7 linked regions of the Kluyveromyces lactis genome follow. The protein of the gene in region 6 purifies or fractionates together with the protein of the main gene of each other region. This does not show direct contact. Links are inferred from orthologs where the notes say so. Each region holds a gene or a part of one and is shown on either strand. Other genes may lie near its edges. The genes, in order: RPN2, RPT1, RPN10, PRE1, RPN14, RPN6 and RPN13.

Region 1 (4,303 bases), on a different chromosome or scaffold from region 6:
AATATGTATACTTACATGAACACTTATATAATCTGTTATTATAGCCGGCTTAGTATCGACTGTTGCAAAAACATGTTTGAATTATTTGCATATAGATACGACTTAGTTTGAGGTGATTATTTACTGTACATTATGAAGGATGACCGCTATTGCTAGGACCTAATTTCTCGATTAAAATTCAAGAGAATCCTCGACTTTAAATGAAGATGGTAATGGGGCATATATATCTTTTGTTTGTCTTACGGTCTTGATTAATTCTAGTGGTTCTTCAGGTGTCTTATCCTCAACGATAATGACACCTGAGTTTCCTCTGAATTTGCGAACAGGTACAAAACGGCTATCTTTCGCAAAAGATATGAATTTGAGTTGCTGCGGAAGCACACGGGTGAGGTTTTCAACATCATAGCTCGTTGTCGTGTATTTGATCTTAGCTTCTTCAGTATTCTTGGCCTCTTCCTTCTTTTTTTCCTCCAGTTCCACCTCTTGCTTTTCTTCATTTACTTTTTCTGCATCCTTTTCTTTAACCTTTTCATGTTCTCCTTTTTTACCTTTCTTAGCTCTTGCCTTGGCCTTGGCGGTAGTTGACAAGACGGCAGCTGCAAACTTTTCTATATTTTTGTCCACCTCTTCTTCGTACATGCGAGGATAGGTGAAAATTCCCTCCTTCGTATGACATTTGAAAGCAAATTTAGGAATTGCCAAATCGCTAGCACGCAAACCCACTAAGGTAGTTGGAGTGAACGAAAGCGATAAAAAGTGGGACAATGGGAACCAGTACCAAAATTGGGAGAACATCATTAAACCAATTATTGATCTACTGTTCAAAGTTCCCATTTCGGTGTTCTCCAATTCGATGGTTACATTCCTACCACCAGCGTTCATGATACCTTGGGCAATACAGGCACCGAACTTTGCTAGTCCTTCCTGGTGCTTGTTTCCAATTACTGACATGAACTGTTCATTAACTTCCTTCACCTTTGAATTCGTTTTTTCAGTCTGCTGAATCAATATCATTGAAGTGGCAATCATAGCAGCTTGACGAACATAATCAACTGGATCCTTCAAAAGAGGTTCTAATACATCCACAGCTGCCTGTAAGCCTCTACCAGCGCAGGATACACCCAAAGCGAACGCAGTACCACAACGGACATGAGCGTTATGTGATTTTGACAAAAGTTCTACGATTCTTGGGACGGTAGTATATTCACGAATTAACACGAAACCTAGGGCAGTGACTGCTGCCCTTCTAACATCGTCGTCGGAGTCCGAGACTGCGACGTGAAGAAGTTTTTTCACAGCCTTATTATTTCCGGTCCCTGCATGGGCTAAGGCGATTGTGTAGGCACCACCATAGCGTAACAGGGCGTTCTCACTGGCTAGTAACTTATCAATCAAGTCGTCAGCTAGTTCCTCTTTGCCGTAATTTATGAGAGCTAAGGCAATCGATAAACTTCTTGTGATATTACCGTGTTGAGTCTCTTCTGCGTAAGTTAACAAGTCCTGAATAACAGTTTGGTTACCTGAACCTAGTAAAATTAAACCAATAGCCAAAGCAGCCGCATCACCAGATTTAGCTGAGTCTCCATATAACACTTCTTTCAACATCTCACAAACATTCACATCGTCCGAGCCCATACCTGACAACCCAATACCTAAACAAGCACCATGTAGCAACACATCTACATCCTCTTCTCCAACGGAAGAACTATTAGCTTGAATTTGCTCTTTTAAGTAGTCAGTTGATTCCTTACCGTAGCCGGCAAAAATTAAACCTAGACCATATAATGAACCACCTTTGATATACCTCGATTTTGAACCATTTCCTGGCAAATAAGGCTCCATTATCTTTCTTCCATCTGAGAGGTTGCCTTGGTGAATAACACCTAGTGAAGCAGTAGCGGTAAATTTGGCCCAGTTTTGGGCTTTGCCTAACCATTGTAAATTTTGTCTGATAAAACTATCATCCGTAGTCCCTGCGTGCATAAAAGCATTGGACACACTCACAGCTGTGTGGAATAAGGAGAATTTACCATCCAAAGATGATTTCATCTTATTCAGAAGAGCCTTGTCTATGGTTTTGTTCTCAAATAGAAAAGTGTTTTGCAAATCGCAGGTGGGTATACCGGAAAGGATTTCAAGTAACTTAGGATCGTATACATTGGCGTCCAAGGAATTAGAAAGATCCTTCAATAATCCCTGAGAGGCTGAGTTTACTAGGTCAAAAGCGATTTGGTAGGAAACATCATATGATTTAGTTGAATTTAACTTGAAGAAGAGCTCCTTGGCAAATTCGATATCATTTAACTGTACGATAATTTTTGAGATAATAAAGTAGTCTGGGGCAGGCATGTTCATGACAATTTCATACAACTTCTTCAATACGCTCAATTTAAAGCGAGTATTGGTTAATGCAGTGGTACATACAGCCAATGTGTAAGAGCACAATTTGAGGGCATTAGTACTGGTGTCCTGGGAAGTGAGAAGCTTCTCAACAACATCAAGTCTGTAACTTTCTAATGCGATTCCCAATGCAAGTTTATACTCCCCTGAAGAAACACACTTCTTCAACATTCTCTCAAAGATAGAAACCAAATGTGGATCAATTTCAACAGGTTCCGATTCGTAGTTACTAGAAGCAAATTCAATATACATTTCGATACTCTGTGACACAATCGTTTCGACATATTGCGACTGTTCATCGATATTCAAATACTCTCCTGCAGCTAGGGCATACTTAACCGCTAGTTGATATTCTCCAAGGTTATAATACACTTTTGAGGCCACAATTGCTGCTAGTCTACGATCAGGAAAGGATACATCATCATACAATGCTTCTATTTCGGTAATATCATTTGATATCTCGGACCACTGTTGATCTACCACGTCTTTAATTGATTGTAATGCATGAGTCTTAACAGTGTTGTCAGATTCCTTCAATAACGCCAAAAGCGGCAATGCAGATGTAACTGACATTCTGGTTGAGTTTACGGCTTTAAATACCTTAAGTCTCGATGTAACCTGGTAATGTGCAGATGTGGTGCGAATAGTAAATGACTTTATTTATATACTTTTGAAGCTTCTGTTCTAAAGTTTGCCACCGTTTGTCAAATTAAATCAGAAACCATACAAAAACTACCCTAATCGTATAGAATGATTTTATAGAGCCTCTTCAAGAATATGCTCTCCACCTCCATCAGGAAATGTGCTTTGCAAGATAGTCGCAGTTGTCCAGTTGATCAATATTGCACCATTTACAAAATCGAGAAGCACTATTATCATGCATACAATATATAATTATACGTTCTATCCTTTATCTATACCGATATTATAATTGAAGTGAAAAGCAACTAAGTTGAATTAGTATTCTAACATAGCATTTTAATATAGTAATCTGATTGAAATCTTGTAGTCAGTTTCGTTCAACTCATCGTATATTTGTTTGATATCACTTTGGTTAACATTTGAAATATCAGCCATCAAATATGCGATGTCCCCGTTAGAATCAGAGAACTGCTTTTCGATGTTGTGGTTGGACAAGATGTTGTTGACAGTTTTCAAAACACCAGGAACATTTTGATGGATATATAGTACACGTACAGTGTTTTCTTGATCCAGATCTAATGCTCTTAATGAAACTTCTGGGAAGTTAACGGCACCGACGGTGTTACCTTCGTTGATGTATTTCGTTAGTGCAGTAGCCACTTCGATACCAATAGAACTTTGGGCTTCTTCAGTAGACCCACCAATGTGTGGAGTCAAGATAACATTTGGTAAGGAGACCAAATCAGTTGTCCATGTGTTCAAATTATCACTGAAGGCACCAGCACCATTCTTAGCAGGTTCATTTGGATACACATCCAAAGCGGCACCGGCAATCTTGCCCGCTCTCATTGCTTGAATCAAAGCAGGAATATCAACCACAGTCCCTCTAGATGCGTTGATAACGTATGAGCCATCCTTCATAGCAGCAAATTGAGGACCAGACAATAAGTTTTTAGTTTCTGGAGTAGCTGGAACATGACAAGTCACAAAGTCAGAATTGTTCAACAATTCATTCAAAGTAGAAACCTGCTTAGCAGTACCCAAACTCATAATAGTGACAATATCATAGTAGAGAACGTTCATACCAAGAGCTTCAGCCAAAACAGATAATTGAGAACCAATATGACCGTAACCGATGATACCCAAAGTCTTACCTCTTACTTCCCAACAGGCAGCAGAAACCTTGTTCCAAGTACCGGTGTGTAATTCAATAGATCTGTCACCTAATTGTCTAGCTAGGGTAATGATTTCTGCAATAACT
Region 2 (3,666 bases), about 1.1 Mb from region 6:
TGTTTATACTGACAAAGGTAGCAGATCTGGTTAGGATACCTCCAGATCAATTCAAAAGAGATACAATTTCGACCATTGTACATGAATTGAACACTAAATATGCCAACAAGATCATCCCACATATTGGATTGTGCGTAACTGTTTACGATGTACTAGACGTTGATGAGGGGCAACTAAAACCTGGTGATGGCGCAGCGTTTATCAATGTTACTTTCCGCGCTTTAGTGTTCAAACCTTTTGTTGGAGAGATCGTAACAGGATGGATATCACAGTGTACAACAGAAGGTATCAAGGTTTCACTGCTCGGATTGTTTGAAGATATATTTGTACCACAAAACATGTTATTTGAGGGCTCATATTTCTCGCCGAAGGAGAATGCATGGATATGGCCGATGGACGATGAGACCAAACTATACTTCGATGTCAACGAAAAGATCAGATTCAGAGTAGAACAGGAAGTGTTTGTAGACGTGAAACCTAAATCGCCTAAGGAGAAAGAGCTTGAGGATCAGCTTAGGGCAAAGCAAGAGTTGACGGAAGAGGAGAAACGGATCCTCGAAAAACCACCGGCTTATGCTCTACTAGGAAGTTGCCAAACAGATGGTACTGGATTAGTATCATGGTGGGAATAAAAAGTGTATTTCTTAAGTATGTATATATGTACATTATATATTTCTTCAATCAAAAGAAGATGCTCCTTGTTCTTAGTATTAAGTCTCTAACGCTGACTTGTTTCCTTGAGTATGATGAGGGTTATAAGCATTCTGTACTTATATATATATATATATATATATATTTATATACATGTACAATCAGTTATATTGCATGTAACGTGAAGTGGAAGAGAATTTCTTGTAACCATTGATAACCTTTTCGACAGCTTTTAAGAAATCTTTTTCCGTAGTGACTTTTCTTCTAGCTCTAATAGCAAACATACCGGCTTCAGTACAAACGGATCTTAATTCTGCACCAGTAGAGTTTGGACATAATCTTGAAATTAACTCCCATCTGATACCACGCTCAACGCTCATAGATTTTGTATGGATACGGAAAATGTTGGCTCTACCCTCTAGATCAGGTAATGAAAATTCTACCTTACGATCTATTCTACCGGGCCTTAGCAAAGCCGGATCTAATGTATTTGGTCTGTTAGTTGCAAACATGACTTTGATATTACCACGAGGATCGAACCCGTCTAATTGGGTGATTAATTCCAACATCGTTCTTTGCACTTCGTTGTCACCACCGGCACCATCATCGAAACGGGCTCCACCAATAGCATCCACTTCATCGAAGAAGATGATACATGCTTTCTTAGTACGAGCCATTTCAAACAATTCTCGCACCATACGAGCACCTTCACCCACATATTTCTGAACCAACTCTGAACCAATGACTCTAATGAACGTTGCATCTGTTCTGTTAGCAACAGCACGAGCGCAAAGAGTCTTACCTGTACCCGGTGGGCCATATAATAAAATACCCTTTGGAGGATCGATACCAAGGGTAGCAAATCTTTCTGGTGATAAAAGAGGTAGTTCCACCACTTCTCTCAGTTTTTCTATCTGTTCCTTACAACCACCAACATCTGAATATGTAACGTCTGGTTTTTCTTCCACTGTCATCATAGTAACACTTGGATCAATTCTTGGAGGCAATGGTAATTCGATTTGGTACTTGGATCTGTCCACACCAACACGCATACCTTCTTCAATATCCGTTGGAGAAACACGCTCTCCTAGTCCGACAACGAACTTCGCTATTTGCTTCAAGTTGATCACATACTTAGCATCGTCATCGTCTTCATCCTCTGTGCCAGAAGCAGCGGCCGCTGCTGCGGCTGCTGCTGCTGCTGCTGCTGCAACTCCATTTCCATCAGCATCTCCTCCTAGTGCGTTCCCACTTCTCTGGGGCTTTTCTGCCTTGATAATCTTGGTGCATCTAGCCACCTGTAGTGGTTGTTCCTCACTTAACCTTTGTCTATCACCAACAATATCCCATAAATGTGATGGTGCTAACCCTGTATCACTCTCTTTCACACCAGCTTTCTCCTTAATCTTCTTCTCAATTTCCTTCAAGTCATTCTCGATAGATTTAAGCTTCTTAGCGTATGGTGCTGCTCCGTAAGTCTTCAACACTTCAATGTCCCCTTCGGAAAGTGGCACAACCTTCTTTTCCTCCTTCGATTCCTCGTCTTCAATAGGAGCCTTGTACTTCTCCCAGTCTTCCTTTGGTGGCATAATGTTTTACTGATGTATTGCGCTCCTTACTAACTCGATATATAACGAATTGACCTCACTTCTCTCCATTCGCCACCCTTTCCAAACTGATTTTCCATATTATCAGTCTCTTTAAATCTTTAGTTCGATTTCCATAAGTTAGATTTCCACTGTTAAGAGATAATGTTACCCGGTTTTATTGATATTCGGTAAAGAGTTCCAACTAATGAACGTTATATACGTTATACATGAGAGGTCTTTTTGTGTGTATAAGGTTCCTAATGAATCCATAATGCTATCGTTTGCCAGGATGTGTATGACATCACTAGGGCTCCAAATATTAAGATCGCCAGGTCTATTGCTTGTAATTTTTTATTATTTTCGAACACTTTGTAGTGGAATAAAGGAGGATAAATGTAAATCAACGGTATGCAAGCGAAAGATCCTATTAGAGACACGAATTTATCCAAATCGTTAGCACCGATCCATGCGATAATCACTGCGATGAGGACCACGAACGCTCTGAAATAATTTTTACGCCATTTCACCTTAGCGTCAAATTTCCCGGACGCATTCTTATGGAAAATCTTGTTTTCGAGGATCTTTATAGCAGGGAATAATTGCAATGGTGTCGATAGGAGAATTGCCAGAGCGTAAATTAGTTGTACTGCGTTTGTGAAGATACTGTTCGAGGGGAAATTCAACAAGATGACAGTTTCTACTTTGGCTCCGAATGCAGAGTAACAGATGAGCCCACAGGAGATAAATATTATTGTTACAACGAGGATGACGTACATCAATGCCGGTTTGAAATGTGCAGGTTTTTCCATAGATTCATGGATTGGGATCAAGAGACCGATACCCTCATATGTGAATATCGCAGTTCCAATAAATAACGTCCAGTCCGATTTGTTGAAAGACACCATGGAATCCGAAGCGATGCCATGGTTCCAAATATAGAAACTGGAATAATAATAGACGTATACTAGACCCAAGAGAATGAAAAGATCTGCTACCAAAGCGGTGGCACTGAGTCTTGCAATGTTTCTAGTCAATGATAGCGGCAAATAGAATGCTAGTTGGATCATAATCCAGAAGATTAACGAGTATTCGAGAGAAAAGACATGTTTGAAGAATGCCTGCAAGTTTGTTGCAGTGAACACAGTATAAGCAGCAGCAAATCCGATTTGCGAGAGTACAATCGATGAAAGGACAGTGAACTTCAATTTGGGTCCGAATAAACGTGAACCCAATTCACCGTATCCATCCACTCCAACAGCAGTCTTCGTGTCTATCAACAGGATGAAGCAGTAGAAAGACACCGTGGCGCAGAACAAAAGACACAGCGTACTGAACAACCACCCACCGTTATGGAAAGCTCTAGGTAGAAAAAGAACCCCGGTACCTACGAACGACTTTAGAAGGAGAAGTACCGCCTTCGTGGTGG
Region 3 (2,910 bases), on a different chromosome or scaffold from region 6:
TTTAGCTGTTCTCGCTTCTGCGTCACTATCATTATCCGCAATATTCTTACTATCCTGACAACCATCTTGTGATTGCGCCTGCAGGGCTTTAGATTGAGTATTTTTCAAACCATTGGTCGATAACTGCATCCGAGGGCCGTTGAACGCAGATCCTTGCATTTGAGAGCTGACGCCGATACTCAAAGTATTATTTCTAATTGTAACATTCGTACCAGAAGTTGCATCAGATGAACCGGTACCTTGAAAGTTATACCTTGCAGAAGATTTGGTGCTGATGGCATCGCTTTGCACTGATGACAGGGCATCCCTGTCCCTTGGAACAGGCCTTGATCCTGACCTTAGGTTAGAAAATATAAGTTCCCCGGGAGGCATGTCTTAAGGAAGACGACTAGGGATCCTTGACAATTGATCAATTTCACTGCTTCTACAATGCAAACTGGAGAAAAAAAGTACAATGAGGTTGAGTGGATGAGTTTTCTTCATCCATATGTGTTTTGTCTTGTCTGCATCTTGATATTTTTCAAATTATTGGTTTTTTCGTAGATTATTGTTGAAAGGGTACAAAATATATATCACGTGAATAGGACAATGTTCATACATGGACATGTTCGAAGCTTAATAGTTAATACCATGAGAACTTGCAGTAAACCATGAACTGAAGTTGGCTTTCTCGATATTGGGAGAGGGTACAATATTAAGAAGTTGAGTTGTTAAAGGGCCATGTTATGACGATTTACTGGGTCATTAGTATACAGAATAGATACCTATATGAGACGGAGGTTGTTAAGAATGCGGAAGTTTAAAGGAATGACTTACTCTGTCGAGTTTTGTCTTATGCGTTCCTGTCTTTCCTGTTCTTCTTGCATAGATAAGCGCAATGCCATTGCCAATTCAGGATCTAGGGATGGATCAACACCAAAGTCCATAAAATCGTCATTACCTCCCATTGAGAAGCCAGCCTCAGCAGCAGGACCTTCAAGTACAATAGGCGATGCTGCTACATGCTCGTAGAGTAGTTTGGGGCCTGCATCAATGTTCAAAAGAGTAGATTTACTATCCTCTTGCCCACTGTTGACCGTTTCTACGAATTCCTCCAATAGGTCAGCGTTCGTATCAGTTTCACCGAAATTGATAACATCAACCGCAATGCTATTTTTCTTCAACTTCTTTGCCATCTTAATCAAATCCTGTCTATCCTCAGTGATTGGACTACAAACGAATATAATAATCCTTTGACGCTGTACTCTATTTTGTCTATGTTTCAAAGTCAATGCAGCAATCTGTATGGCAGTGGCAAAATGGATGGACCCTCCAATATTGATATCATGTAGTCCGCTCAAGATCTTACCGAATTCGTTTGTGAATGTGGATAAAACTTTTGGGTTTGCCTCGGCAGCAGATACCAACCCTATAGTGTTCTCTGGATTACTGTTTCTTTTCGCCTGGAAAATATACTCAACGGCATCAACTTGTGCCACAAATCGAGTTCTTGGAAAGTCACCGTTCCTGGCATATTCCGAGTTATCAACAACCAATACAGTAGCTTCTAAAACCATCTCTCTTTCCTTAATATATCTGTTCTAAAATGATTCCAAATAAGAGAATAATTCAATCAAAGACTACAAAAAATTATCTCGCTTTAAAATAGAATAGCGGTACGCAATCTTAATTGATATAGAATGGGTTCAGCAACTTAATTATCCATTAGTTAACCTTCTTTTCCCTGGTGGCAACTGTAGCTAGGAACTACTTCTTTTCTCTATATTAAATATTAACCTAACTTTACTTTGAACCAAATTACCCACTAGATTAATAAATCCGGGTAATAAAAATCCAATCTCTCTTTTTCTTCCCCTTCACGCAGATCAATCTGCAGGGCCTTCTGTCGTTCTCCGTATTATGGCAGAAACTTCGCAAACTCTCTGTCAAAACCAAAAGTTAAGGTTTCGGATCTTTATATAAGTAAACAAACAGGTGAAATAATGAAGATCAAGCACTTGAGATTTTATCCGCCGAAGTGACTAATAGAGAAACAGTGATGAGTACCGGCGAAGATGGTTCCAAAAACGGGCAGCATATTACTGAAAAGCAACGAGAGAAGATTCGAAGTGCGTTAATAACTCGCCAGGAAGAGAAACTGCAAGAGGCCCTGAATGAGATAGAGAGAGTGAAAGGTAACACCAAAGAGATGCTGGAATCTGTGATTTCTACGTGGAAAGAGAAGGCTAAATTGAGGGATGGAACTATCCAGGAAACCCTGGACCGTGAAAGGGCTGGTGATGTTTAGAAGTGCATTTAAAATCGTTTAACCAAATCGAAGAACGGATGCCGGGGACTTCAGAACGAACTCCCACGTGACCATGCCTAAGATCGAAAGACTGTTTCCCCCCAATTCTGTGGTGATATTAAAGTGGGCGAGAAATCCAATTAGTGCTCCGGGTGATTAATAGTCACGTGTAATGATTTCCCACGTGATGTTTTTTTGTTGGTCAAGAAGTCTTACCATACACAAACACCACGGTTTTCTTTTTTTTTTTTTTTTTGTTGTGAAAGAGTAATCCACTGTTATCTTACCAGTCAGCAGGTAAACATCTGATATTCCGGAAAAAAAAAAAGAACTTCCCTTAGCGTCCTCGCTAGCATTCAGTCTTACTCATTCTCGCATACACAGTTTGGACCAATGGTTCTAACTTTGCGTCCGTGTGATTACGCCTGCACGCCACAACTGTGTGCGTTCCGGTAACTAAAAAAAATAGTTTGATTAGTATAGTCTTGATGTGCTTGATGAGCAGAGTAGCGAAACGGGGAATATAAAGAAGTTGAAATATACGTTCTAAATAGCCTCCTGATACCCACTGTCTTGGAAGGAAGGCACTCTAAGTAGTACAAAAACCCAAGGTTCCTAGTTCT
Region 4 (2,817 bases), on a different chromosome or scaffold from region 6:
ACATCAAGCTGCTCAGCAAGAAGAGTCTTAACCCTTGTGGCTGCTGTGCTTCCAGCAGTCTTGTTCACCACATCATAAATGTCGGACACAACAGCGGCACTCAAATCCTGATCCATCTCCAACAGTTTTTTCTTAAACTCATTCTTCGTGGTACAGTTCTTATTTATGTTGATGATAAAATCAGCGACTATCTCATCATCTAAACCGAGTACTTTGCATATCTCCTTCTTGACATCAGACATGCTATTCGCAGCAGCAACCTTAACTTAGGTAGGTACTAGAAAGGACAGATCAGACGAAGCTGTTGCAGTGATGTTGCCTATCCTTTTTTTCATGTTTTGTTGAGATGAGATGAGATAAGATGGTTTACAATAAAGTCAATAAATCTCAAAATTGTATATTGATCAACGTCAAAAAGAGAGAGAAGACAAATCGATACACGCTAATCTACCAGCGACACCTCCAAACTTAAAATGCTTTTGACTCTTGGGTATTTCTGAGATAAGATATTACTTTGAGTTTTGTTTATACAAAAGATGTAAATATGTGTATGTACTTGATTCTGGTTAGAAAGATTGCACTAAAAGTCGTCAACGACCCTAACACCATCCTTATCCACGATTTTTACAATAACCCCCTTGAAATCAACTGGCATTCTTAGCTCTAGCTCTTGTACACATTGCTTCAATAAACCTAAGGCTTCATCTACTGTTAAATCCTCTCTGTAATGACGATCCAATAGAGAGAATGTGTAGAAACCAGCGTAACCGTGGGCAGCGTATGGTAATTCTACCTTAGTACCTAGATAATCTATCTGGTACAACTCTGCTTTCTCATTCTTGGTATCATAACCACCGATTAATACGTTAACTTGGAATGGTTTCCTCGATCTTAGGGATTTAGCCAATTCTGTTCTAACAAAACTCGATGCCGCATGAGGAGACAATTCATAATTTTCTCTAATCAAATACAATTGCATATTAGCCTGGATATATTCAGCAAACTGTACTGTATCACCAGCTTCACCAGAGAACGACATTAGTGTGTGAGGGAGTAATTGTCTGGTCTTGTCATCTGAATCTTTCAAAATTGAAATACCCCTAGTTACAGCCTTTGAAGAGGCCAATATCACCGAATCCTTGACTCTTATACCTAATAGAACATCCATTGGGAGATTTAGTATAAACTTTGACTCTTTTCACTGTCGATAGACCCTATATTTCCCTGTTTCCTCCCTGATAAAGGTTTGCCACCGTAAGTGTATGTTCTTTTTGTCAATTGTATTTTAGTTAAACATTTTCAAACATCATTTAAAGGTTTTCCACTGTATGAAAGGTGACAATACACAGAGAGAGAAACAGACAAAGCGTTTTATTCGCAGGAATGAAGCCCAAGCTAGGCGCCAATTGTGGGGTGATAGTAACTAAGAATACACTTGTTGAATGTTTTTTATTTTACTGTTTTGTTTCAGGTAGTATCGATAAATAGGTATTGTTCTTATTTGTAAATATACATATGTATATATGTGCTTGATCATGCAAGACAGCTGAATTAGGCATTCAGAAGTCAATAGACGACTTGATATCTTCTTCACGGTCTCTCTTTTGTGAGGATAATTCTTGTTTGACCAACTTGTTGACATACTTTCCGAACATGTCTAGGTACGGTTGTAGTGAAGTGCGTTGCACTTGATTATCGTTAGTATCCATTTCGTTCTGTAATTTTATAAGTTTTGGTGCCATTTCTGGTGAGAACTCTTCTGTAATCGGTACACAAACGTTACCAGTGGATGGATGTATACAGAATGGAGCCTTGAGTAAATGGATGGTTTGTTTTGTGACTTCCACATCTAATTTAGGGTATAGCGTTTGGATGATGATATCTTCTTTACTCTCGCGTAGTCTCTGCAAATAATCGTGTTGTCTCTGTTTAGGAAAGCTACTTATTAGCTGAGACGCTATCACATCCATGTCCTTCCATTTTTCCTCACTTGATCTTCCAGGTTTGTTGGTCCATAGTTTCTTTAGCTGCTCAGATAGCTGTTTGTCGTGACAACTGGTAGCCAAAGATTTTATCGCTAGTTCATCATCTCTCCAAGTGTCTTGTTCCCTTAGAATGATTTCAACGAAATGAGGTTTCAAAATCTCCAGAGATCTTGATAGATGTGGATGCAGCGGTCTAACCAAATTCAATCTCTTCTCAATATTTCTATCCCTAACCACGTTCATATAATCCAACATGTTCTTCCTATGAGAATCCGTCATGACCCTGGCTCTCTTGTCACTAATCCAACAATGGGCACCACGTCTACCAGAGAAAACCCAAATGAACTCATCAAAACCGAAATCATTTTCCAAAGATGAATTGATTACTTTCATAGCTAATTTAATAAAGTGCCAACACTTGGGACACACTTGTGCCCCAGAACAACATGTTCTATAACTATCATAATCATCCATATCGATATCGAAAACTAATTCTTTCTCCATCGGTTTCATCTCAGTCTTAAGTAAAGAGTCGCGCTCCCTTGGCGGTTTATTGTACACTGCACCGATCTCAAATCTATCTGGATTAGCCTTCTGGATCTGTACTTTGAACTCCTGTACGCTGTTGAACGAATTATATCTTTTGTATGCACCAGATCTGAACGCCATCGCGAATTCTCTATTGATGATATCACGGCCTGGTTTAGGTGAATGGTTCAGCCATTGAAATATCTGCTTAAAAGGATACAGATGTTGATAGTAGTATTGCATATCTGATGAACTAGGTCCATAATTTGAAGGAGGAGTGTCACCTCCATATGGGGTAGTCGAT
Region 5 (3,361 bases), on a different chromosome or scaffold from region 6:
TAGCAGTATTTTTTTCCACATTATTGACATCATTTAGTTTGATGAAGTTGAAATGCATCTCTGGAACATCGTTAGCATCCTCATTCATACATTCTTCAACGACACAATCTCTTTCTAAACTTAATTCGTAAGGATGCTTCAAATTAGAGAACTGAGGTTTAGCAGGTTGCACTCTAGCCTTTGATACAAAATAAGCTTTACCCTCCTGTAAAATCTCGTTAAATTTGATCGCATTATCGTTGAACGCAGTGGCTCTAATTTCACCAGAAGAATCCAACAAATTCACATTCAAGATATGGCCCTCACCTCTATTATTTTGCCACTTCTTCAAATCACCTTTGAAAGAAACTCTGGCCTTTATGGTCCAGTTGTTCTGATATGGAGAAATTTGTTCAATGGCAAAAATAGGCCTTGAATTTTGGGATGACCCATTATTCGATTTTGCCTTGGGCACAGAACGTGGTTGTGGGGCTGGAATGTTGCTGGTACTGGTAGGAGCCATCTTAGAAGTCATAGACGATGTAGCAGACGCAGCTGCCGATGCAGCCTCGGATGCTACGGCCCCGTTATCAGTCAAAGTCACCAACTCATTCATATGTTCACCCAAATAAGCATCGACAAATTCTGTAGCATTATTAAACAAATCTAACCCACGGCTAACAATCTCTATCTCATCTACTAACAACACAAACTTCTTCTTCTCTTTGATCACTGCGCATTCCGCGTTCAACACTTTGAAAACATCCCCTCTTTCTAATTCTGCCTGTTGAGCCGCCTCTGCAGCTTTGTTCCTCAAAAGAGCCTTGACATGGTATTTTCCATCGTTGATGAGAATCAAATTCTTTTTAGCATTAGTCTCAGTCTTCTTGGTTTGAACAACCTGGTAAATACCGCCGGTAGGATTGTTGTACCTCTCCGGAATACGGAAAATATCCAATAAATCACCTTCCAATAGTTGAACACCCATCTTCTTCTACCTATTTTAAAGACAAATAGCAGAACAAATCCGTTACTTGACTCGACTTGGCCTGGGTTTCACCTGTAGCTAATCTATAACTGACCCTGAGATGGCGTTGTTTATTTACAGTTCGCCTTTATATACTCTGCGGAAATTCGAAAATTTTTCGTTGAACCAAAATAAAAGGGATAAAATCGAGGAAATTGCTTTCGCGTTTACGCGTCTTACACGTGAGTATCACATGACTATCTTTCAGGTGGTTATTCACGTGACTTTGGGTTTTTTGAGCATCAGGTACGTATTACCTTCATTGATGATGAACAACTTAAACACCAGCAGTGGATTTCTGATTTATGGATTTTGAGCAATAATGTCAGCAGGTTTCCTGTGGATATCAACTGTCCAAACAATTTGCCCGTTTTACTGTATACCTTCCTGTTATTTTCCCTTAGTTAAATATAATGAGAGTTGAGGAATGGAACATTTGCAGTGAGTTTGATGATATTCTTGATGATGTGAGAGGAGAAAAGGTTGCCAGCGATAAGATATGGGTATCCAGGAGCAGTGGTGAGCCATTATACGATTTGGAATTTGATGTACGGTTAGATTCCAGGGGTAATGTTGGGTTTCATAATGCGAATACTTCTGATAAAATTTCCTTTCAAAGGGTAAGGCCACATTTATATGAATTGACAGGACCTGATGCGACAGCAGGACATTTAGCTTCGTTTCAAAGTCCGAAAAAACGGTTCCAACTGCCTTCTGATATTGGAGCTGTTGATTTAACAAGTATAGATATCACGAACGTGTTTGACCCCGAGATACGTTTGGTTTGTGGTGATACGAATGGTGGCATATATGTGCTACGGAAGAACACCGGTACCAATTATAGCGGTCCATTACAAGAAGTGATAAAGTTACCGGAAGCGCACGCTAGTCACATCACCAAGACCCAATTTTTCCCTAACGGCCATGGATTCTTAAGCAGTAGTATCGATATGCGCTTGAAGATTTGGGATGCTTCAACCGGTACTGAGCTCAGAACTTTCATAGGTCATACTCGGTCAGTCAACGATTTTGCCATGGTCGATAGAGGTAGAAACTTCGTCTCTGCAAGTTCGGATGGATCATTAAAACTATGGGAATGCTCAACTTCAGCATGTGTCTTTACGCTCAATTCAAACGATGGCATAAATTGTATTTCATTGGCCAATTACCAGGGAAATCCAGCGACCACATCGTACAATGCATTGGACCATAGCAACGAATACAATACTGAGGGGAAAGCTGTATTTGCTGGACACGACTCTGGTATCATCACGTTTCATGATATCTATAACAGAAAGAAGATATTGGATATTTTACCGGCAAGTAAATCTGCATGTGTCACTCTAACGAGCCAGCACATTGCAGGTGATGACCATTACCTATTTGCTGGCTATTCGGATGGTACGATAGTATCATGGGATACTCGTAACGTTTCCAAACCGGTGGAGACGCTCCAGGTAAATGATAATGATTCTATCTCAAGATTATTCTTGGCACATAACACGTTGAACGTTTCTAGTGGGGTCCAATTTGCTTTCAATGTACCTGTTTTGGACGGGAAATTCAATTTCAATAAGCTTACACATCTAATTCGTCCTTATGATGAAGTGACTGATTTCTGTGTTGATGAATCACATCAAAATGTTTGGTGCGTCGGAAAAAATGGTATGCTATTGAAATACTGATTTGTCGTCCAGTCTAAAAGAGAAGCAATAGAATTGTAAATAGAATTATACCCATATATAGTCCAATAAATTATCCATACGTTGCTCTCATCAATGTGTATAGTAATATCTGCTTTGATATTGTATCCTTCTCTTTTAAACCTTTCTTACTGTGCATCTGAAGGCACCAAAAATCATCTTGAAATCTTAACATCAAAATGAAGAAGTTAACCTTCTACCTCTAAATATGATGATCATGAAACACCCAAGTAAGCCACCAAATCACCTTTGAAGGACGATATAGCACTATAATTTCCTACACGATGAGTAGAAGGATATCTGGTGCTAATGACCCTTTGCTAGACATGTTTTTCGATGATGATTTTGTACCTCAAGCATTCGTCGACATATTGTTATCATCTTTCCAGACAAGCCAATTAGAAGAATTGAAGACCAATTGCTCTAGTCTACTTTCAAAAATGGACTATTACAGTGGGCATATTACAAAAGAACTTGAGTCCACTATTCAGGTGCTTCAGAAGCCTGCTGAACTTATTATATACGCAGCAAATGAGGAACAGCAAGGAACAACAAAACTAGAGTATTATTTGGATACTCTAGCGAATAGTGTGAACTTATTAGAGACAGACGTTAAAGCTATTGATAAACAATTAGAAGAGCTGAATTCTAA
Region 6 (3,225 bases):
CTAAAAGCTGCGTAAAACACGTTGATAAAATTTGCAAAGTATTGAAATACATATCGGAAAACGATTCTCAACTGTGTGATCGTATTTGGATTTACTGTGCTACTAAAAAACCAGCTTCCCTTTTTGGTGGCAGCAAAGCCGCCAGCACTGCTCACGCAAATAAAGTTGTTAAGAACATTATTTCTGGCCAGAAGAAAAGAATAAACGGGACAATGGTAACACCTGAAATGTTTGATAATGTGAGAAAACCCAATCGTGGTTTGTTTGATGAATTTCTTAAAGATTCTGACGAACAATCGGACTCAATTGAACTTTTATTTTACTGCGGGGATGCTGCAGGAAGACCAAATGATTTTAGTGACAGTGACAAAGAGTTTGCTAAAATATTGGGCGTACCTTTCAAGGTACCGGAGGAATACTTTATTTGAATTTCGAATGATCTTAAACCTACGTAAAATATATTTATTTACTAAGTTACTTTAATGATTGAAGGATGAGCGTATTATAATGAATTTTTAATTTTAGTATAATACAGCGGCTTTTTCAAAGAGTTGTTCTACAACTCCATTGAGTTGATTGATCAATTCTAACGAAGAATCATAAGTGGCATCCTGTTGTGGTGTCTCATAAATATAAAGCCATCCGTTTCCTTGGTCAAGCACACCAAAGAAAACTTTGTCTAAAATCATTTGTGAAAGTTTGCCCTCTACTTGTTGAGCATCAAGCCCGATAATCTTTGAGATATGCGATACTTCAACACATTCGAATGGTTCGATGATCTTACTAAGATTTGATTCCAAAAGGGTGTCGTATAATGCATTGAAATGTGATCTAATGAGTTCATCGCCCATCAATTCTGTCTTATAATTTTGCATTGCTGTATTGAACTCCAGTAGGGATCTATTATTATAAGCCTCAGCGACTGCCTTCATGGCGTCAATTCCGCGACTTTGGTAGGTCTCCTTAGTATATTTGGCGTTCAAGATAGTTTTCACTTCATCAATCAAATTAAGCATGATCTTTGAAAGAAGCATATACTTTAGCACTTGACAAGCTTTTCCGAATGTGTTTGAGCCAGTTTGGCTGTGGAAGGCTTCAAAGGATTCATAAAAGTATGAGAAAGCAGTCTTATAATCTTTGTCTTCACAGTGTAAGATACCACTCATTAAATCCAATTCTGCCATTGTCAATGTTGGACAATAAATCGAATTTGCGGATGTTCTAGCACTTGTCAAAGCAGCCTTTGATTTAGTCAAATTTCTTAATTTATGGTACACTTTACATTCCAATAGATGAACTTCGAGCAAAGACGATTTATCGTCCAATTTCTTAAACTGCCTCAACAAATCATTGATCAATTGCAAGGATTCGTTGTAATGCGTCTTTTGGTAGTAAAGAGTTGCCAACCTAATCGATAGAGAATGCTTTAAAAAGATTCTCTTCTCCTTTGTGGCAAAGTCGATCGAATCTTCGCATATCTCGATTTGGGTATCCAAGGAATCGGGTATCAATTCGAAATCGTTAAGTAACGTCTTTAAAACTTTGGCAATCTTTGATTTCGCTACTTTCATCATGTATTCACGAGAGCGTGGTACAAACTCGGCGAGTTTCTTCAACTGATGTGTGGTACCATACAATTGACCTAGCTCAAGAATACATTGTTCCTTTTCTTGAGCATCTTTATTGCTAATTGATTGGGGTTGTGCGGCATCTTGATGGTTCAATACTGCTAAGAACTGCGCTTCAGCCTTCTCATAATCTTCCTTCCCTACAAGATTTCTAGCTTCTTCCAACGACATATCTAAGTGGGATTATTTGCTTTCTTTCCTGTTCCTTTCGTAGTTTAACTTCAGCTTCTGCTAGACGATCTCTGGCAGGTGTAGCGCCAATTGTGTCTACCTCGATGTTTTCGGTTTGCCACCTTATTTAATTTACTTTAACTATAATCTCTTGGACAAGATTATATATATCATTCTACTACAGAAACTGGTTCAATTCAAGGCGATCATTTGGTACGTAACTTGAATAAGGGTAGACTATTCACGTGACTTATACGTCACGTGAATCGAAATTAGATTTCCTTTACTGTCCTAATCTTAGCACAGATACATCCGCACGAAAAAAAGGAAAAATAGTCGCGTTTCGTCCTCCGTGATGTGTTTACCATTCCTCGAGAATAGCACGTGAAAGACCCTTCACTGCATTCACTTCAGCCAATCTTTAAACTCCTCACTCTCATCTGCCGCATATGCTGATCGGTACTGGTAATCCACATCCTCAGGTTCATTGTCTCTCACATGTTCTGCAGCAATTACACACCTGTAACTCATAATTTTCACCTCAAACACCTAAAATCACCTATTTGTAGATATCTGAAAGAAAAAAAACTTAATTTCACTGAAAGCTCGGTATGGGTAAATATTATATAAATATATTTGAAATAATAGTATGGATGAAATTAAACAGAGACGTGTTCATTTTGGCAAGTTTTGGGTGGAATAAACTTAGGTTTTCTTTTGCAGATAGAGGTATCAGTCGACCAGTATCTGTGGGAAACTTAGATAGGAGCTAGACAATTTCAATTGGGACCTTTGAACTGGAATTGAATTTTTGAATTGGTTTTTTTTTGTTCTCTCTTCTCAAACATTTAGTTACCATTTCCAAGGCTTTTTCGAAGTGAGAAAACATCTGTTGTCTGTATCTGTATCTGATCTGATCTGATCATTGATTGTATTTCTCATTGTAAAGGTATCTCAGTCTCACTCTCTGTTTGATTTTGTTGTAGAAAATGGGTAAGACTAAGACCTCTACTAAAGTACAAGATTGTGTTCTCGATGTTGATAGCGTTGGTGACATTCAAGTTGAGAAAGGTCCATTGAGACCTTTCTTGGTCACTGAGCCACCAAAGAATTTGAAATCTATCCGTACGATGACTTCTAGTAAAGAACGTTTGGTTGTTATTGCATTGGCTGTTATCGCATCCGTTGTGAGACTTTGGAACCTTTCGGATCCAAATTCCGTTGTTTTCGATGAAGTTCATTTCGGTAAATTCGCAGCTAAATACATTAAGGGTATCTTCTTTACCGACGTCCATCCTCCGTTAGCTAAGATGCTTTTTGCTGGTATTGGATCATTGGCTGGTTTCACCGGTGATTTTGAATTCAAGGATATTGGTCTTGCATTCCCAGCTTCCACTCCATACTTCGCTATGAGATTCTTCTCTGC
Region 7 (2,580 bases), on a different chromosome or scaffold from region 6:
GAAAAGGCCTCAGAGTTGCTCCATTCAAAGCTGGAGATGAGTTACACTGGGCTGTCAGATGGGACTAGTCAGGCTTAACAACCATCTTCTCCCACATATATACCTATATTTATTCTCATATATAAGTGGTCCATTAAAAATCTTATGTAGATACTTATTTACCAGCTGCTGCCAACGGTCAGTATTAATTTTGTTTCCATTTTCTTATTCTGATTGTGAATCTTGCTTCTTTAGCTTTTCCTGGAGGCCCTTATTTCTAAGTCCTTCCAGTAGAGCTCGTGGTCCTTCTCCGGTATACGAATATCCAAACATTTGTGAGAGTTGTTGTCCCGAATAGCTCTGCTTCGTAGCTAAGTCCAAAATGTCAACTGCTTGCTGAAAGAATGGACCTCTTACACATTTCAAAAGGTTTTCTTTTCCCTTTTCGACATCCTCAGGCAAACAGTTACATAATTCTTTGAATTCGGTAGACTCCTCAGAAAGAGATCCAATATACTTCACTAACATATCTTTAGTTAGGAAATCAGAAAGATGGTTTATACGGATGGTACTAGGACATAGTATTAGTAAAATATAGTTTAATTTGGTAATGATAAAATCGTAATGATTTGGAAATAACAGATCTGAAAAGAAGGAGAGTTGGACGTTGAAAATGCCTATCAAATCTCAAATACTGTTTACAGTTCCTTATTTTTGATCTATTGCTTCAAAATGAGTAATGTACAACGCGTATATACTTACGGATTGGAGTCGGCCTTCGGCTGTTCATTGTCTTGAGGGTCAATTTCCATCTTTTCCGGTTCTTGTTCTTGTTCTTGTTCTTTGACTTCCTCTTCCTCTTCCTCTTCCTCTTCAAATTCCAACAGTTTCTGAAGCTTAGCAAGTAACTCTTTATCCTTTTCACTCCATTCGTTCAACGATTCATTGCCTTGGTGCTTTTCTTGTAACCAGAAAAACCATTTCTCACCAGTAGAGAAGAGTAAACATAACACTCTGCCGTTCTTAGCTGACTTTATATCGATCCATTTCGTCTCTCCGGGAATCAAAATAAACTCAATTGGTTCCACTGCTGACCCTGAGACTCGATCCTTAGTGCTCCATTGGAAATCGAAAAACCCTTGCGCTTCTTCACTGGGTTTGATCTGGATCTCCCCCTTCATCTGCTTCGGCGTACAAATTTTACTCTCCTCATCATAATCACATTTTCCTGCCCTAAAACTGATCGCCTCTGTCATATCAATATTCTTCTCTCCTCTTTTAAACCTATACCACTGGTCTGACAATCTCTCAGATGTTCTATGATTGATATCTTCGTGTGTGTAGGTCCTATTTAAACAGTTTGCCACTGCTGACGCCATTTGTTCATATTTTCCTTAAAAGAATAATGTTGTAGGCTTAATCATGTGACCAAGATATGGTAGTATTTTTCTATGAAAAATTTCTTATGAAACCGCTTGGAAAGACTAAGATGGTAGAAATCATCACATCATGAACGGATATTTAATTCAGAACTAAGTGAATGCACATTGGGTTGGACTTGTACAACATCATTAACACCGATCAGTGAATGCACTCGGAATTCTAGATACAATTGGCTAGTTTTCGGATATCTCTTGCAACTATTTTCGTCACAACTATTGATTTAGTGGTGGTTTTTTGTACGAATGACGAAATCGAATAATGATGCTACTGCCAATGGTAGTAGCGACACACCTGCAAACCACACGGAACTGAGACAGTTCGAATGGATCCCCACTGATAGATTGATTCCAGGGACTGTTGCCCGAGCGTTTCTTCCATTAAAGAAGTGTCCAGAGCTAGTATTGAAATCATCGGATTATGTTGATCTGTATCCTGGCGATGAAGTTTTTGTTATGGAACAGACCAAGGATGGAAAATGGTGCCGTGGTTATGTTAGCAATGATTTAATGCCAATCGACTTCATGAGCAATATGGGATCTGTTACTGACAATTTACCGAAACAGAAAATTCAACGAGTGATTTTCCCCAGACGATTTGTTCATTTGGATTTTGACGAGCAGATCGAGAACTATGCATTCTTGAGGTTCCCCACTGGTACTGAATTAGAGCAACAGGATGGTCGACTCAAAAAACTACCGAGTTTGTATCAATTAATGCGTGCTTCGAAAGTTTCAAGAGAAACTCCACCTCCATATCCATTTTTCGTTGCAAACGGATATGCGCTAAATCGTGAAATCTTGTTAAATTTATTCACATTAACAAAACATATTTATTATCTTTACTCATTTGGTGAGTTTGAAATCGTGGATCAGATGGTCGACTTATACTACAAGTTAGATGCAGTCAGAATTCAACTTCAAGCAAATTTTATGGCCACTAACGAAAGATCATTGATCATGAAAAAGGCTACTGCCTTGATGAGCATATTTTCAAAGTTCATCGCATCACATTCAGTGACGAAAAAAATCGGCTCATTGCAGAAAAGGAACAGGATTGATCCGTTCGGGTTCGAGTCAATCTTGACTCGCGACCAGGCTACAGGTAAGCTTTTGACGGATTCTGTATCTCCTCAATTAATGGCCACAAGTACGTCGTTAT

Evidence for each region.
Region 1: the proteins of RPN6 (region 6) and RPN2 purify together in Saccharomyces cerevisiae (affinity purification with mass spectrometry; 5 studies listed by BioGRID, with this or other methods). This does not show direct contact. The link is inferred for Kluyveromyces lactis from reciprocal best matches to the Saccharomyces cerevisiae genes RPN6 and RPN2.
Region 2: the proteins of RPN6 (region 6) and RPT1 purify together in Saccharomyces cerevisiae (affinity purification with mass spectrometry; 8 studies listed by BioGRID, with this or other methods). This does not show direct contact. The link is inferred for Kluyveromyces lactis from reciprocal best matches to the Saccharomyces cerevisiae genes RPN6 and RPT1.
Region 3: the proteins of RPN6 (region 6) and RPN10 purify together in Saccharomyces cerevisiae (affinity purification with mass spectrometry; 8 studies listed by BioGRID, with this or other methods). This does not show direct contact. The link is inferred for Kluyveromyces lactis from reciprocal best matches to the Saccharomyces cerevisiae genes RPN6 and RPN10.
Region 4: the proteins of RPN6 (region 6) and PRE1 purify together in Saccharomyces cerevisiae (affinity purification with mass spectrometry; 4 studies listed by BioGRID). This does not show direct contact. The link is inferred for Kluyveromyces lactis from reciprocal best matches to the Saccharomyces cerevisiae genes RPN6 and PRE1.
Region 5: the proteins of RPN6 (region 6) and RPN14 purify together in Saccharomyces cerevisiae (affinity purification with mass spectrometry; 3 studies listed by BioGRID, with this or other methods). This does not show direct contact. The link is inferred for Kluyveromyces lactis from reciprocal best matches to the Saccharomyces cerevisiae genes RPN6 and RPN14.
Region 7: the proteins of RPN6 (region 6) and RPN13 purify together in Saccharomyces cerevisiae (affinity purification with mass spectrometry, with the first as the bait; 4 studies listed by BioGRID). This does not show direct contact. The link is inferred for Kluyveromyces lactis from reciprocal best matches to the Saccharomyces cerevisiae genes RPN6 and RPN13.

The regions. Positions count from the first base shown.
Region 1 is NC_006039.1:807,206-811,508, forward strand, and holds RPN2 (proteasome regulatory particle base subunit RPN2), read right to left. Parts: upstream 2,974-4,303; coding exon 172-2,973; downstream 1-171. Other genes in the region: KLLA0_C09306g (uncharacterized protein), read right to left, coding at 3,379-4,303. UniProt on the Saccharomyces cerevisiae protein: Acts as a regulatory subunit of the 26S proteasome which is involved in the ATP-dependent degradation of ubiquitinated proteins.
Region 2 is NC_006041.1:1,214,441-1,218,106, forward strand, and holds RPT1 (proteasome regulatory particle base subunit RPT1), read right to left. Parts: upstream 2,241-3,666; coding exon 813-2,240; downstream 1-812. Other genes in the region: DNA-directed RNA polymerase III subunit RPC25, read left to right, coding at 1-632; AVT3 (Avt3p), read right to left, coding at 2,498-3,666. UniProt on the Saccharomyces cerevisiae protein: The 26S proteasome is involved in the ATP-dependent degradation of ubiquitinated proteins. The regulatory (or ATPase) complex confers ATP dependency and substrate specificity to the 26S complex.
Region 3 is NC_006038.1:356,500-359,409, forward strand, and holds RPN10 (proteasome regulatory particle base subunit RPN10), read right to left. Parts: upstream 1,557-2,910; coding exon 813-1,556; downstream 1-812. Other genes in the region: GTPase-activating protein IML1, read right to left, coding at 1-372; KLLA0_B03927g (uncharacterized protein), read left to right, coding at 2,039-2,287. UniProt on the Saccharomyces cerevisiae protein: Multiubiquitin binding protein.
Region 4 is NC_006038.1:1,023,685-1,026,501, forward strand, and holds PRE1 (proteasome core particle subunit beta 4), read right to left. Parts: upstream 1,169-2,817; coding exon 581-1,168; downstream 1-580. Other genes in the region: DEAH-box ATP-dependent RNA helicase PRP22, read right to left, coding at 1-242; DNA primase subunit PRI1, read right to left, coding at 1,560-2,817. UniProt on the Saccharomyces cerevisiae protein: Non-catalytic component of the proteasome which degrades poly-ubiquitinated proteins in the cytoplasm and in the nucleus. It is essential for the regulated turnover of proteins and for the removal of misfolded proteins.
Region 5 is NC_006037.1:775,541-778,901, forward strand, and holds RPN14 (Rpn14p), read left to right. Parts: upstream 1-1,419; coding exon 1,420-2,691; downstream 2,692-3,361. Other genes in the region: replication factor A subunit protein RFA1, read right to left, coding at 1-967; Golgi transport complex subunit COG7, read left to right, coding at 2,994-3,361. UniProt on the Saccharomyces cerevisiae protein: Acts as a regulatory subunit of the 26 proteasome which is involved in the ATP-dependent degradation of ubiquitinated proteins.
Region 6 is NC_006041.1:136,771-139,995, reverse strand, and holds RPN6 (proteasome regulatory particle lid subunit RPN6), read right to left. Parts: upstream 1,800-3,225; coding exon 522-1,799; downstream 1-521. Other genes in the region: TPP1 (polynucleotide 3'-phosphatase), read left to right, coding at 1-428; dolichyl-phosphate-mannose-protein mannosyltransferase PMT1, read left to right, coding at 2,789-3,225. UniProt on the Saccharomyces cerevisiae protein: Component of the lid subcomplex of the 26S proteasome, a multiprotein complex involved in the ATP-dependent degradation of ubiquitinated proteins. In the complex, RPN6 is required for proteasome assembly.
Region 7 is NC_006040.1:245,104-247,683, reverse strand, and holds RPN13 (proteasome regulatory particle lid subunit RPN13), read right to left. Parts: upstream 1,359-2,580; coding exon 738-1,358; downstream 1-737. Other genes in the region: URA4 (dihydroorotase), read left to right, coding at 1-68; KLLA0_D02904g (uncharacterized protein), read right to left, coding at 205-507; guanine nucleotide exchange factor DCK1, read left to right, coding at 1,665-2,580. UniProt on the Saccharomyces cerevisiae protein: Component of the 19S cap proteasome complex which acts as a regulatory subunit of the 26S proteasome, involved in the ATP-dependent degradation of ubiquitinated proteins.